Schizosaccharomyces pombe: one gene and its partner. The protein of the gene in region 2 interacts with the protein of the main gene of each other region in a biochemical or structural test. Each region holds a gene or a part of one and is shown on either strand. Other genes may lie near its edges.

Evidence for each region.
Region 1: the proteins of rpb5 (region 2) and tfa1 interact in far-western blotting, tested with the Schizosaccharomyces pombe proteins (one study listed by BioGRID).

What each region holds. Positions count from the first base shown.
Region 1 is NC_003424.3:4,742,529-4,750,979, reverse strand, and holds tfa1 (transcription factor TFIIE subunit Tfa1), read right to left. Parts: upstream 6,452-8,451; 5' UTR 6,397-6,451; coding exon 6,290-6,396; exon of another isoform or gene 6,248-6,289; coding exon 6,152-6,247; exon of another isoform or gene 6,111-6,151; coding exon 5,969-6,110; exon of another isoform or gene 5,841-5,968; coding exon 4,881-5,840; 3' UTR 4,788-4,880; downstream 1-4,787. Other genes in the region: mid2 (septin ring organizing protein), read left to right, coding at 1-1,841; MAP kinase-interacting protein Sin1, read left to right, coding at 2,692-2,714, 2,774-4,657, 4,697-4,787; WD repeat-containing protein Atg1803, read right to left, coding at 6,813-7,510, 7,560-7,651, 7,708-7,796, 7,845-7,945, 7,997-8,111; phosphatidylinositol 3-kinase Pik3, read right to left, coding at 8,338-8,451. UniProt on the Schizosaccharomyces pombe protein: Recruits TFIIH to the initiation complex and stimulates the RNA polymerase II C-terminal domain kinase and DNA-dependent ATPase activities of TFIIH. Both TFIIH and TFIIE are required for promoter clearance by RNA polymerase.
Region 2 is NC_003424.3:1,050,353-1,058,174, reverse strand, and holds rpb5 (DNA-directed RNA polymerase subunit Rpb5), read right to left. Parts: upstream 3,557-7,822; 5' UTR 3,441-3,556; coding exon 3,366-3,440; exon of another isoform or gene 3,302-3,365; coding exon 3,219-3,301; exon of another isoform or gene 3,128-3,218; intron 3,008-3,127; coding exon 2,533-3,007; 3' UTR 2,269-2,532; downstream 1-2,268. Other genes in the region: autophagy-associated lipase Atg15, read left to right, coding at 760-2,034; mannosyltransferase complex subunit Alg1, read right to left, coding at 3,707-3,829, 3,921-4,455, 4,499-4,931, 5,008-5,191; SNARE protein Bet1, read right to left, coding at 6,001-6,204, 6,254-6,392, 6,436-6,446; serine/threonine protein kinase (CK1 family) Hhp2, read right to left, coding at 7,686-7,822. UniProt on the Schizosaccharomyces pombe protein: DNA-dependent RNA polymerase catalyzes the transcription of DNA into RNA using the four ribonucleoside triphosphates as substrates.

The DNA of each region.
Region 1 (8,451 bases), 3.7 Mb from region 2:
ATCAGTCTCTTCTTCCTTTTTCTACAGAAGTTCGTAGGACCCCAACTTACTCTGTCATGAATGAAACGGATAGTAGTAGTACAAGTGTTGAAGACGTAAACAAAGAGAACATACTGTCATTGAACGATTCATGTTTGATCAAATTATCTGATGATGAGGCTTCAAATAAAAGCAGTCGTAGCTCGACTCCACGCAACTCGATAAAGAGTAATTCATCTAACCAGGGCCATGGCGACATACCAATTCCTAAAAAAAATCCTGCTCGTTCCGTTTGTAATTCAAAGCTTTTTAACGAGGACACATTGCCAGCTGAATTTGAAGAAGTTTCAATTTCACCACCTGTCAAACTTGAGTTACCTACTCACTCTCATAATTCATCTGACACTAGTTTTACGAACAGTATAGTTAGCAGTGTTAGTGACATGGTTGGTCTTGGCGAAGGTATAAACAGTATTGCATCTTTTGGTTTCTCTGAAGATTCGTCCTCGTTCCAAGATATAAAGACACCTCCTCGCTTATCATTCGCAGATGAGAACCGAGAGAATTGTAGGACTGATATCTACCGTTCAGATTCTATTCATGAATACGAAGAGCCACTTACGAGCTCCATCACCTCTTTAGATTCCCCTCATGTTCTTGACGAAAATGCTCCGATACCGCTTCTTCCAAAAGTGGTTTCTTTACCAGATCCTCGCTTTACAAATGTTCTTTCAGCCTTTGACGCTTTGACTAGGACATATTTGCTACGACAGAATTCTAAAGTTGTACATGCCACTAGTCAGAAACAAGAAATGCAAACTTCGCGGCGCGTTGTCAATTCTTGTTATATGCCAGAATCGTTATCGCGAAATTTGTCCAGTAGTTTGCAACAAACCGGCGGGAGTGGAAGATTGTTTGTCCGTCTTATGGAAATCAGAAACTTAACTATTCCTTTGGCATCGGGGATGACCACTAGGTTCACTTATACAATCTCTGGTAAGCACATTCAAGTACCATGGAACGCCTTACACTCTACTACTAAAATTGAAAATGAGTATACTTTTGATGAAAGTATTAGTTCTTCAATTGTATGTACGCTCCGTGCGGCTTACGATCCACCTAAGGTTCGCACTCGTTCTACACTTGGAAAAGTATTTTCAACAAATAAGAGAAAGTCTATGACTACCGACCCCGTTTCAGAAGCACTTCATGGATTTGTTTCTGAAGATGGAACTTTCGGCGAAGTTACCATTAACACTGATTCTGTAAGCCGAACCGCACTAGGCCGTTGTCAATCTATGGTTCTACCAATCATGAACAAATGGACTGTTGATCCGGCAGCTAAAGATGTCAAGCCTCTCCCTCGAAAAGTAGGAGAACTCGAAATCCACGTATTTTTCTTACCAGCGCTTCCTGTCTCTCTGAAAGAACTTCCCGCTTCAATCGAGTCTGCCATGTATGACTTAAAGCTTGCTGAATGGGATAGAACTTTATTGTGTGATGGTTATCTATGTCAACAAGGTGGGGATTGCCCTTATTGGCGTCGTCGCTATTTTCAATTAATAGGATCAAAGTTAGTAGCTTTTCAACAATTCTCTAAAGTTCGCAGAGCAACGATTGATTTGTCTGAAGCCACACATATCGTGGATGACAACCATTATAGTGATGAAGAAGAACTAGAAGGGTATCTGTATTTCGAATCGGGTTTCCGTATCATTTTCAGTAATGGGGACTACATCGATTTTTACGCTGAAACCGTCGGCGAAAAAGATGAGTGGATGTCTACACTTCGTCAGCATTTGGGGCAATGTTCAATGGTTCACAAAAATTGGACCAAATCATTTCTTTCGCTGAGTTTTTAAATTGACCATTTGCTTCGACCTCACTTTTTCTATTTAAATCACATTTGGTCTTTATCTTCTCCTTTATCTATATCGTCTTGCATTTTTCATTGGTTTTGTTGTTTCCCTCGCATAATACATAATGTTCATTTTATCTACCATCGAGAAGCTAGATTCGGTTGAAATGAGCTCGTTTTATATAAGCTGTTAAAAATCGGATAGCAATTACTTACTACTCCCCATGTATATTTATACTTCAGTTGCAAAATACTTCATTTTTGAAAGTTTCCCTTGATCCGAAGAAACGTTGTCAAAATAAGTTGTCTCAAAACGTTTATCTTGGCTTTGTAAATAAATCAAATTCCTTAAAATACTCTAGCTTGGCGTTGTCGAGTGAATTTATTAAGTCGTAAGCTTGCCATTTGAGAAACTTCAAAAAATAAAAATTCCACAATAATTTAATTACATTATTCTGTAAATAATTAATACCGTAATTGCTATATAGTTCAAATACCATTTTTAGCTGTTTCGCAATATCTAAAACGTATATGAGATCACTTTTTTTCATTGTCTAGCGTTTTTGTACTTCAGTTAATAACTGTTTGAATTAATAGTTTCGTTCATATTTTGCTGTCTTTTGAAATTTGGTGGTACTTTACGGTGTTACCCCCAACACTTAATTAAATGCTTAGCGGGGGATACATAGCAACTGAAATAAAGCACGCGGCGTCCGTCACCAACGTTTCACATAATTGAGTTTACAAATTTTCTATATTAAGGTGCCATAAAAAGTATGGTCGCTAAGTATTCAAACTTCGTTGAAATTAAATATTTTATAAAGTCTGTAAATGCGATATAATAAGGACTCAGAATGGAATTAACAAGAGAGAAAGTGTAAGGATACTATTTTTTTTCCTATGAAACTTATACAAACTAATACGTTTATTTTACAGTCTTTTGTTAACATTTTTGCGAATGCAATATTCTCATATACTTCCTGACTCAATCGAAAATCGAGTTATATCTACTGAGGCCCCGGAATGGGAATTGGACAAATCATTGCAAGACTTGTTGATTCATGATTATGATTATTCTAAAACTTCGTTTTCTTCAAGTCCCCCGATTGTCGCTAATGACACTGTATCCAATGTCCGAAAGCCGAGTGATACTAAACAAGTAAATGGTGCTGGGGGTCAAGTTAATCATTCTCGAGCTGAAGATTCTGATTATGCTACTTCTGACTTATCCGAATCTTCAGATGTGGGTGATGACGATAACTCGTGTATATTTTCTTTTAGCAAAGTCCCAATGCAGAAGGATGTTGCAAGTATAAAAGAAGAGGAAAGACTGGACCCCAAAATTTCCACATTAAATAATATTGATGCTATCGCAAATCTTAAGCTTACCAACATGGTAGAATCCTCGCAGGCAGTGAATTTAACCTCGTCCAAACAGTCTTCCATAAACCAGCAAAGCAGTGTTTCTACGGATTATGATGATCTACGGTCGATTTCTGAGGAATCATTTCATTTAAGTCAAGGAGAAATTCCTCTTACTTTTCCAATGAATTCTTCCTTAACTGACACTGAAGCTGATGCAGTTGTTGCGGTTGATGCTCTTTTTCCTGGTAAGCAACGCGGAACACACAATACAGTCAATAAAGCAAGATCTGTTTCGAACGCAAAGGCTCCTACATCTGCTCTTCGTGCATTACTTGAACATAAAGAAAACAGTAGCCAGAATGGGCCATTGGCTGAAAATTTTGCTACTTTTTCTGGACATGCAGAATCAAATGCCCTCCGTTTAAACATTTATTTTCCTTCGAGCGAAAGTCCTTCAAAGCCCTTATTTGTAGAACTCCGAAAGAATGTTTTGGTCTCTGAGGCTATCGGTTATATTTTACTTCAATACGTTAACCAGCAACTCGTGCCCCCAATAGAAGATGAGGCTCAAAATCCGAATTATTGGAATTTACGTATTGTTGAAGATGACGGGGAGCTAGATGAAGATTTTCCCGCTTTGGACCGTGTAGGTCCATTATCAAAATTTGGTTTTGACGCATTTGCTTTAGTTAAAGCCACTCCTGCCCAAATAAAGGAAAATCAAGCTGCCTACCCGTTTAAATCGAAGCATCCAACATCAATTCCTGAAGCCAATAACAAAACGCATATTCGGCATACTAGTTCAACTTCAAGTCAATCACAAAAGCAAGCTCAGGATGTCAAAGATACACTTAATACTTCTCATGTCGTACAGGTACGACTTCCCCCATACGGGGATAATGCTCGATTTTGCAATATTGAAATATCAAAAACTACTAGATTGGCTATGGTGTTGAACCAGGTGTGTTGGATGAAGCAATTGGAGCGATTTAAGTATACTCTGCGAGTTGCTGGATCTGATACTGTTTTACCACTTGATAAAACATTTAGTTCACTAGACGGAAATCCAACTCTAGAACTTGTTAAAAAGAAGGTACGCGATAAAAAAGGAAGTACCCAACAATTGCCAACCTCCTCACCACAAAATTCCGTTTATGGATCTATTAAGAAAGATGCACAATCTTCAACATACAATGCAACAGATATTATGTCGAGCAATACCTATCAAGAATTTCTTGTATGGAAACGACAACCTGTTTCATTTATGGGAAGACATGAGCGTCTACTAGCTATTGATGGAGAATACGTTCACATAATGCCGTCTGAATCCAAAAATATATTTGAAACGCCTAAGACGTCCAGTATACATGCTGGATCGATTATTTTATGCAAGCAGTCTAAAAAATCACCATGTAATTTTAAAATGATTGTGTCCAAGAATAGGGAAACTAAGCGGTAAGAAATTTTTTAACGCTAATAAGCTAACGAGTTCAGGTATGATTTTGAAGTTTTGTCCGCCTTGGAAGCTGCCATTATAGTTAGCAGGATACGTGCACTGATGAATACTGTTAAAAAAATAAATTAACATTTATTTATTACAAAAAGATTCTATGAATACATAGGTATAAACACCTTTGTTTTTTGGTATCACATTGCTCTCTCCCCTATGTCATTTTTATTAAACATCTTCAAAATCAGCTTCATCTTCATCGTCTTCATCGTCCTCATTAAATCCATTAATAATAACATTCTTTTTACTTTCTTGCATTTCCGTATCACCATCAGTAATACCATTTGTAGAAACAATAGGTGGTAATGAATTGTTTTCTTCTATCGATTTTGTTCTTTTATTTTGGATATCACTATCTGAATTTAGGTTCTCGGTTTTACGCTTGACCGACCCATAATCAGTACTTTTGTTTTGAAGAGAGGTAGCCGTCGTAACGTCTAAGAAGTCATCATCCTCCTCATCATCTACGTTTTCACTGTCCATAAACTCGCTTTCCTCTTTTTGCTTTGCACGAAGTGTTGCGTAATAAGCATCTAAGGCGCTCTTTTCAGAAGTAATATCTGTTTTAGTGTCTTGAACCTCATTAACAGTTTCAGTTCTAAAACTATGAAGTGCGGCATCTTTAGCTCCAGCACGAGTAATGGAGCCAGAAATTGTTGATGTTGCATGCCATTCGGGAAGAATGTTTTGAGCAGCTTTGACTTGCTTGTCGCAATTCCTTTCACGCTTTTCATCAGTCTCTTTATCAGCAGAGAAATCAACTGTAATAGATGGCGAAGAGGTGGAAAGACGGACGTCTGAATTACTTTTTGACAAGTTTTGTTGCGACAAATTTTGGGTGTCTAACGAAACAGGAACCGCATGTTCTAAAGCAGATTGGAAATTGTTTTGTGGTACGACAATTTCATCCACCCTTTTCAATGCATCGATTATACCATTAACTTGTCCCATCAGTTTTCCTAGCCTTTTCTGACTAGACATCATTTCTGCACTCTCCTCATCGTCTTTGAGTTCGGTTCCACAAACGTTACAAGCAAAAGTTCCCTCGTTGGTCACCAAAGACAAAACGTCAAGGCTAGAAAACTTTTTGTTGCAAAATGGACAAACATAGCCTTTAGAATCGAAATCCTGCTAAGTTAGTGAAAGTGACGATAATAAGAGATTCGTAAAAGTAGTGGGTAAAACACTAAGCAAAAAGAAGGAAACAATATGGTAAACCTTTTATGAAAAAAGGCCCAATTAAAAAAGGAACTTACATTTCGCATTCGATCTTCTACTGTTTTCACTAATTGGTGCATACGCCATTTAATGCTGTCAATCGTAGAACAGAAATCGATATAGAAATAGGTTGTATGATATTGCCTTTGTTGGCCTTCCTTCATTTCCGTCCTACTTTGACTGAAAGGTTAGCAGCTGGTCATGGAATTGCCTTCACGTACATTGCCAATAAACGATCCTCGCGCAATTTTCCAGCAATAAACCGACATTCTTTTATAGGGATACCCATTAACAGCGCTGTTTGCTCATCTGTAAGTCTACCAAAGGTTAAAATCGTTCTGATCTTGTGAAGCACGTACGCTGAATGTCGCAAAATCGCATCCATAAATATTATATGTCTAGTTTCGTAAAACGCCCTCATAATCATTTTTATAAGTCTCTGTACTATTTCTGGAGCATTGGACATAGTAGATAAATGATACGATAAATCGAAGGAAGGTTTTTGCAGCGAATAATAAAGGGTGATGGAGTAGTGGAGAATGTACCACAAAAAGACACTGCTTAAGGCGTTAACTAATGACTCTTTAAATGCCTATAGTCATGAAGACTGTTAATTTAGAAAACATCTTTTAAAATGACATTCAAACATAATAGTCTTAAAAGTGGTCCATTGCCTTAAATTACTATAAATTTATTCACAATGTCCGTTGTTCAATAAATTCTTCGGTGAACTAGCTAAAACTTGATACGTATTAAAATTCATGCACAATTAGGATAGTATCATTGTTTAACATAAAATCATTAATGAGACGTTATTTGAAAAGTTATATACAAAATTATCTAATGTAGAAAGGTAAAGTACTAGAAAGAAATCGAAAGTCATCAGCATAAAGACCCATCTGCCTCTAGTGTATAATCATAATGAAAGCATACATGTTGATTAGCATGTTCCACACTTTTGGAAGATTCTTCAATCGTAAGCTTTAATTTCTGATATGCAGCATCCTTGTAACAAATAAGAATAGTCATTTCATCTAACCAATGTAAAAGTACAGGGTTAGATTGATAAAGCTGAATTCTCCAATGTGCACGTTTTCCACTATCAATTAACTTAAGTAATTTTCGTTTCCAGTGAGTTTGACGGGGTTCGGTTGTAGAAGATTTAAATTCACTTGCTTCCTCATAAGGTTCTTCAGACGTTAATTGACGAATTGTATTAGGACTTCCGTGAAGAGAAAATATATGTAAAGTTTCTTTCTTACTTGCACAAGCCAACAATAATTCATCGGGAGAAAACGCTAATTGACAAACTGCCGTGTGTTGATAGCCACGACGAAATTCGCAAATTTTTTCTCCAGTTTCTGAATTCCAAATACGAATTAAAGTACCGTTTGTTGAAGAGGATGCTATTTTTGAACCAGTTTTGGATATACCCAAACATGATATCTCACTATCATGTGCAGGCACTATGCTAGTGTTCATATGATCCTTAAAAAGAAATAATATTTGCAGCTGGCCGACCTTTCTAGAAGGAAAAACGATAGCAGTTTTCTCAACAGTAGTAACCATAGCGCATAAGCCTACATTTCAAAAGTCAGCTTCGACTATGCTAAGCAAAGAATGTCTTACCTTTTGGATTCTGGGTATCAAGGCATCTTTGTAGTTTTAAGTTATTTCCGAATTGGTACAAAAATAGCTTTGATGCGGTTGCAATTGCTAATCTTAGATATGTTAGTTGTTAATAAGACGACAAGCAATATAAAAGAGAAGAACGTACAATTTCCCATCGAAACATATTCCTTTTATTTCAAAATTCAATTCAAGCTCTTTTACCGGCCTCTCTTTCACATCATCCCAAACAATAAGCTGTAAACAAGCTTAGCTAAAAGAAAACAAAGCATTACTCAAACTTACCTTATTTGGTGCGTATTTTGGATTTCCACCGCCGCCTACTAAGAGTAAAACATTGCTTCTAAAAAGCATTTTGACTATTGAAAGACCACCGTCATTGAACTCTAGACAATTGTAAATATTCAAATAAGAGATCTGCATATTGCAAAACTTACGTCTTTGAGCGCGCAGCTTTAGAGGGTTAATTTGAAAGATTTTATAGCCTGTATCTAGCGCAACAGACATGCATGAGGCATCTTGATTTAATGATACAGTATTAATAGTTGACATTCCAATTTGTGGGGTTTATGCATTATGCAAAACTACTTTAGATTGTTCTCGGTGAATTCGGTAAATTACACACCGTCAATTATACAATTCATCACTTTCTTTAGAAAACACAACCTTTTTACTAGGCATAATAATGTATTAGTTCAACAACAGCTATAATGGAAAAGCAAGTTTGGATAAAAAAAAAAGTGTAAATGTGGGCATATAATCATTAAGTCATTAATGTTTAGGATCGCATATACTGCGCAAGATTGTGCATGCGATCTATGATTTGAGGAAACAGAGCACTGACAGAATCATTAATTAATTGTTCAAAATATTTGATGGCATCTGATTCAGA
Region 2 (7,822 bases):
TGGAAGGTCTTGGTGACTTTAAAAACAGAAAATTCAGATTGGACATCTAAATTCTTCCAACTGACTTTAAAAATGTTTACGTTGATATCGTTATCAGTATGCGTATGTAGGAGAATATATCCATATATGACTTTATTCTTTTAGGGAAACAACAAGAGCTGCGCATACTGCTAATATAGTTAAATTTCAAGCGTTCATTATTGCCATTAAATAGGTTACCGCTAAGCATGGGAATAAAAAGCACCTAATGTGCTACTATAAAGCGAAGGATGATTAATTCATACCTTGTCCTCCATAGCAAAACATGTTACATTTGCAAAGTCTTTTCTGAGAAGGAACATTGCCGTATTTAGGAACAATATAAATAAATCTTACAATCATAGCATTATTATAGTCTAAGGCTCCGGTATCGTTATGAAGAACATGTCACAAAACCTGTATGCCATACATTCATCCTAAATTCACAAATTACAGTGTCCATTACCTAGATATTATATCAAATAGCGACATTATCAGCATACAACACCACGCTATGATGCGTAACTTACTGCAGTGTAATGTATTAATTATTGCTTACCAAAGGCGTTAAGTAACTTAAAACATCTATTTATGAGCAACATAAACGAGTTAAGCATGTACATGAGCTGATAAAGCATAATCATTGAATTATCCCATTGTATTTATTAGAATTGAGGATTAGATTCGCATAACGTTTTTCGGTTGCTCTTTTAAACAAAAGGAAAGCAAACTATTCATGCAATGTCTCAATTGCTATTCTTGAGGCGCTTTTTCTTCCTTTTTTGTTTCATCATTAGGATTAGTTGTACAGGAGTATTTGAAAGTGTTATCAAATCTTCGGAAAATGTGCCTGATAAGGTTAATGTCAAATTACAGCATGTATTTCATTACGGACTCAATGAGGACAGTATATCATATTATCGACTAGATGTGGCCAAGAAAAGTGTTTACGCAGAGAGTGAATCAAAATTGCCGTTGAAAATGAAGAAAGGATATTCCGTTCACTTGAAGGATCAGTCTCGCGATGCGTTGACTGATTATAGATATAAGTCTATGAAAGGAATTTATTCTGAAGCGAATTCACCAGCTGATTTATGGGAACAGGAAGCAATCGTGATTCCTGATATTACTGATAAAGAAACGATTTACTCCCTTGGAAAGATGAGCTACAATGCTTACCAAAAAATTCCTTTCGACGGGGACTGGTTAGATTTAGGACCTGATTGGAATATAACTCCACCTGAAGGATTTGGTTGGGAGGAAGATGGTCTACGTGGACATGTTTTTTCCAATGATGACAATTCCACTATAATTATTGCGATGAAAGGTACGTCCATCTTCGGAATCGGACGCGGTACCTCGCAGAAGGATCGCGTTAATGACAATTTACTTTTTTCCTGTTGTTGCGCTCGTGTCAGCTGGGCTTGGTCTACGGTTTGTGGTTGCTATAAAAATACATACACCTGTAGTCAAACTTGCCTTGAGGATGAAGTGCAAGATGACTCAAGGTATTATTCTGCATCATTGGATATTTTTTATAGTGTTAAAGAATTATACCCTGATGCACAGATTTGGCTGACTGGACACTCATTAGGTGGCGCTACTGCCGCTTTAATGGGACTTTCTTTTGGAATTCCAACAGTCACTTTTGAAGCACCTGGTGATCGAATGGCTGCCCGACGTCTTCATCTTCCAATGCCTCCAGGATTACCGGACGAAGAAAGTTTAGTATGGCATTTTGGTCACAATGCTGATCCAATATATTTGGGCAAATGCACAGGTCCAACTTCATTATGCTGGGCCGGAGGTTATGCGATGGAATCAACTTGTCATACAGGACAGGAATGTTTATATGATGTTGTAAAGGACAAAGGGTGGCATCTTTCTATTACCCACCATCGTATGCAAACTGTTTTGAATGATGTTATAGATGCATACGAAAAATTACCAGATTGCTCACACACACCGAATTGTGTTGATTGTTACTTGTGGGAGTTTCCTGATGATGATAGTTGAAAGGAGTGGCTGTCCTTTGCTTCAACTTCTGATAATGTCCTTAAAACTTTAACGAACGCCAAACTTTTCAACCTTCACACTTTATTAGATTCGAGTATGCCTATTTTCTAGTATACCTATAATAAAACTTATTTTTAGCTTGCTTAAAATAAGTACCAGCAAGAAGAAGATGCTTTAGTCTTCGGTTTAAACAGTCGTTTGTGCTATGATAACTTAATGAAATATTGATACAAAGCAGTACTGACTATAAACTATCTACTTTTGGTAATAAAAAGTAAACGTGAATGCCAACCCTTGATGTTTTATTGAATAAATCACTAATAAAGTATTGTTCTAAAAACTATCTAATCCAAAAATTTAAGCTCATTGTAATAGCTATAGACATTGCTTTATTCGATTTGAATTTTAAATTATTATGTTCAAATTGAAATTTTTTAAGAAAAAGAAAGAGATGGTAGTTTTGAAGCGATATTTCTAGCCCACATGTACCAATTAAAATTATGCACAAATTCTGTAGCTATTATAACGGCCACTAGTTTCACTTCTTCTGACAATCTTCACAACTTCTCCCCTTTTTAAACCAAGATAACGAGCAACAGGATCAGCTAGTTGAATACGGGGTAATTGAGTTTCACGTAACTTGTAGCGGTCTAAAAGTTCTTTTTTCTCATCCGGTGAAAGAAGAATATGTTTAGGAACAAGCTCATGATGAGTAATGTTGACAATCAAATCGCTTTCTTGGAAAGTCTCAATGGTAAACTGGCCGGTGACAGTAGCAATGATTTTAGCGGCACTTGGGGTCATGGAATTGGCATAAATTAGAATACCAGTTTTATGATTATGATCACCTAAAGTATGAACAAAAGTTCTCATTTCTTTAATACCAACGGAGGGCTCTTTTGCAAATTCGATATAGATTGTGCCTTTATTTGAATCATTGGAAGGTTTTGCGTAAAAACTCAAAGTTGTACGACTAAACGCATTAGCAAAACAGTTTTTAAAAAAAAATTGATAAAGGAAGTTTAGAAGAAGCATGTTCATCAATTAGAAAGCAGATTAAGAGTAAACCGATTTATAAATACCGGCGTCTATGGACATATACGCAGATATCAACAGAATTTGCTTCTATAATCAATCGGATTGTTTAATCCATTATCACGATGGATTTAAATAAATGTACATACTCTAAATTACGACCCATGCCACAATGCATGGCCTTGAATTGATCCAACGTCAAATCTAATTCAGCTTGAGAAACGCCGTAACCCTAAGTTATAATAGTTGTTAATAATTCTAATATGTTTGAAGAAAAAAGATTATCAAATACATACCCTGTCATGGACTAATTGATGAGCTGTCTTCCAAGCACGAAACACCCTAACAATGTTTTTTTCTTCCGCAGACATTATGAAAAATTAATAAGAAACAAAAATAGAAAAACTGAGTTAAAAAATGAGAATTGATCTTCTAAAAGAGATGTTCCCAAAAAGAGGGAGTTACGGCAGAGCAGTGTGCAGAAGATAGCAAGAAAATTTTGGTGGTGAGTTCTAATAATTATTAAAGTATTCGTTAAGCATGTATAATGCGGTCAAATAGTGTAACAACGATTGGATTATTCTATTAAAAAAAAGGTAATTAGGAATTCAGGTTTGAGAATGTAATATCTAAATACTTAATTTGAACCTTGAACTATAGGAGGGATGACCTTGTTCCATTCATCATCCCAACGATATTCAGATTCCTTGAGAGCACCCAGTTTCAATGAATTTAATTCATTAGCATGAGTTAATAAATACTAAAACAGTTAGTTATCGTACGAAAAAGCCAATAAATTATGTAGGAATCGCTATTCAAGGTTTTTTTTGTAAAAAAATCTTTTTTCATACCTGCATTTTTTTCGATAGAGCTTTTGAATCGTTAACGATCAACCCGTTTTCGCCATCATGTACCAATTCAGAAATCGTTGGATAAGAAAGCGCAATAACAGGGACACCACAGCCAAACAAATCTACAACTTTCATAGGCAAGTCAAGTCCACTTGAACTAGTATGCAAGCATACACCAAGATCTGCGCAGGCCATAACCTGCGGATAATCTTCAATACTGAGCCAAGGCATGCAAAAACGAACTTTGTGTAATGGATGCTTCTTAATGTACTGAGAAAATTCTTCCTTCATCGGGCCTTTTCCAGTTATCAGCACCAAAAGCTTGGGCGTATCTAAAGTTTTGTCGTACTCATTAAGAGCCTCCCATAAAATGTAAATATCCTCGTCTGGTGTCCAAGAGGTAGAAGTAATTAAGAGCTTCGTAGAAGAAGGATTGTACTCACAAGGTATTTTTTTGATAGACATTTGCTTTTTCTGTTCATTTTTAATGGGAGTAAAGTGGTTGGGGGGTCTATCATAACATACATAGCAAGGACTTGAAAATGTTAGAGTTGAGCAAAAAGCAAATTTATACTTACTTCATTCCCCAAGTTTGTAAAACATCTTTCATCCGTTTAGAGACAGTCAAATGAGCATATGCTCCTCGGGCCATGTATTTCTCATAAATTTTAAGTAATTTAACAAAGGTATGCTGCTTCCCTAATTTCAACGCAAGTATTGAATATCCAAAGTTATGCCAATCTATGATAAATTTTGTACCACGTAGTATATGAAGACATTGAGCAATGAAGAAAACAGGGATGCAAGGAGGATTTTGAATGAACAGGAATGAAGCAGGTTTTCGAACAAAAAGAGCCCAGTTCAGTGCAAGAAATTGATGTAAAACCTTCAATGGTCCCAAAAACAAAAACTGAAGGCGGTTCTTAGGTTGAAGATACGCAGGAAGTGAAGGAATGGGATAAAAACGAATGTTTTCATGACTTTCGAAAAGTCCTACAGATGACCCGGGGTCTACGACAGTGTTAGTGACAACAAATACACCTAATGTGGTATAGATTAAAATATTCAAATATTTTAGATAACTTACGCTGATAGCCTAACAAATCAACCTTCCATCCAAGTTTAGCGAAGCTAACGGCATGATATTGCATTCTAGGGCTTCTTGCAATATCTCCTAGGACGAGAACAATAATTCTTTTCTTATCCGTCCTCTTTTTTAAATTAAACCATATCACCAAAGATAAAAATAAAACTATCTTCAATACTAGCATTTTGTACACAAACTCACGGTTACTGATCGAATTTCGAAACTTCCGCTTAAGAAAACTAGTTATTAAATACTGTTAGACATATAAAAAGCGAATATCTTCTTAAAACAACTTTCTATAGGTAGGTGTACAGCGCTGATGGTTTACGTAAATATTATTGTGCCCATAATACACTATTAAACAGCAACCTACCCAATATGTCGAAACTCGAAATAACATGCATTTAAAATACAAAGGAAAAGGAATAGAAGCATGATTGTACTCTTAAAGAAAAAAAAAAAATTTTATTTCAAGTATTGAAGTAAAAGAACACTAGACGCAGAAATAATGTAATAAGCAAATAAATTTAAGTAGTAAGATTCGTATCACATACTTAAACATTCCATACTTCAAGCTTGGGAATAGAAAATGCAAAAGACATGACCTGCATGCCGATAAACTTGAATAAAACTCAAATGTAATAGTTGCGTCAATTTACAAAAATGGTAAGACGACGAGTGAAGGGCTAGTATCATGAATAACAGATAGAAACTTATAATAACAGGATGTAATAAGTTAAAAACAAAGTCGTTAGGAAAACAAAAATTGAGGATTTGCGTTCCTATCGTGACAAACCACTTGTGTGGAAACACCAAAGGTGGATGAATGTTTTTTTTCTATCGATAATAAGTTTAAAATAATCAGAATGAAAATGTTAGAAGAAAAGAGAATGAAGAAACTTCAAGTATACAATTTTAACAGATTATACACGCCATAAAATGAATCATAAAAATGCTAACTCTAAAAAAGAGTAAAGGTAGTAAGCAAAATGCCTAAAATCTTACCAAAACGAGGATAAGCGCAACGAGGCAAAAGAAGGCGAGCCACATCCAAATTGAAATTCCTCCATTCTTCGAAACATTCTTTAATCGAGTCATTGTCCCGCTCAAAAGTGACTTGGTCGAGTCAAATGAGTCGTTCATTGACTCCATCAACTTAGTAGAAGACGTTATCTCAGTCCCAATATTCATAGTAAGCTATTAAAATTAGTTAGCATGTTTTTCCTGATGATGGCAAAAATCTTACCTCTTTCAAAGACTTGACTTTTCCAGTTAACTTTGAAATCCGTTCATCATTTTCATTTTCCAAGGAGTCTAAATGCTGAGGAGATTGAGACTCATACAAGGGCAACATATCGCCATTGCGTTCTTTTCTTCTACCGAATCTAATGATTAGTTAGACATTGATTGATCAGATTTAGTACATACCTTGATCCCATTCTGAAGCTTTTTTTAAAATCTTTCCCTTTACCGAATATGAAAAGTATTTGGTGTAGCGCAACTTCCAAATCCTAAGATCTCTTTGTTATGTATTGGTTTTGTGCGCAAAGTCAGCTCATCAAATAACATGCGACGCAACTCAGGAGTTGCGTGTAGAGGTAACACATTGTTGTACTAAGTGACAAATCTCATTTTGCTCTGTTTTTACATTAATCTAAACAATTTTTTTTTTACCGCAGACGAAACAGAGATGATAGTTATGGGTTTAGTAAAAATAAGTATAGATCCCTTCTTGAGCCTGTAGAATATTGAATTTGAGCATCAATTTTGAATGATTTTTCTTTGTGGTGCTGATCCATAATGTGTTACTGGGGCAACTGTAATGTAAACAAATCAACGTGCTTTGTTTACATTTGTAGAAGTGAAATACCGGTGGTTAAAATACCACAGAAAGCAATAGATATGATAATATGGCAAATCGATGGATATTTTTCTTTGCTACAGCCGAAATTAAATAGTATGTAAAACTTGATGATCCAGCGGTCAACTCCAACAGAGCTAATATTTTTTACGCTACTTGCCCATAATACAGTGTGAAAAATAGCGATCTATTTAATCGATGAAATTTATCATTTATTAATGAATTATTTCTTATGCAATTGATATTATATCTTTTATTGCAAAGGTAGGCAATAAAGACTGGTTTAGAGCCACGCAAATGATAGTGTAAAAAAAGAAACATGCTCCTTGTGTATATTACTTCTAGCAATGGAGGTACAAACTTTTCAGTTTTGAATAAAAACGGAATGTAAGAACCAATGGGGAACGAAAACAATAAAATAAAATTCTGGGAAGAAGAAATTTAGAAATGAATAGCACGACTGACTCAATTCTTTGGCAAGAACTTGACCGGAACGAGCTGAATATAAACAAACAGCACGATTTAAATTTTGTCCTCTAATTATGTCTTTTCAGTAAAGCATGTATGAGGTTTACACAATATGTCTATTTAAAAAGAAGGCATTAAAACTCAACTTCTAGGCAAAATGGAATAGCTCAAAACAATAGCTAAACCTCAAAGTGTATTAGTGTAGCAATCCGGCCATCCATAGACAAAAAAGAAAGCCAGGAATTATTAAAGATATTTGTGGAACTTTAAAACGTCAACAGATGGTTTGGAATTTAAGACTAAAAGACGTAGTGTAAGAGAGGAATTGATGAAAAGTAAAGTCAAAAAATCAAGGAGCTGGTTCTTCATCTAAAACACGCCTCAGTTGAGCACTGTATTGAGGTTGCAACGAAGATGGAATGTATTCATAATCTTTGTTGGGAACAGGAGAACGAAAGGAGAGAGGAAGAGGTGAGGGAGAAGCAC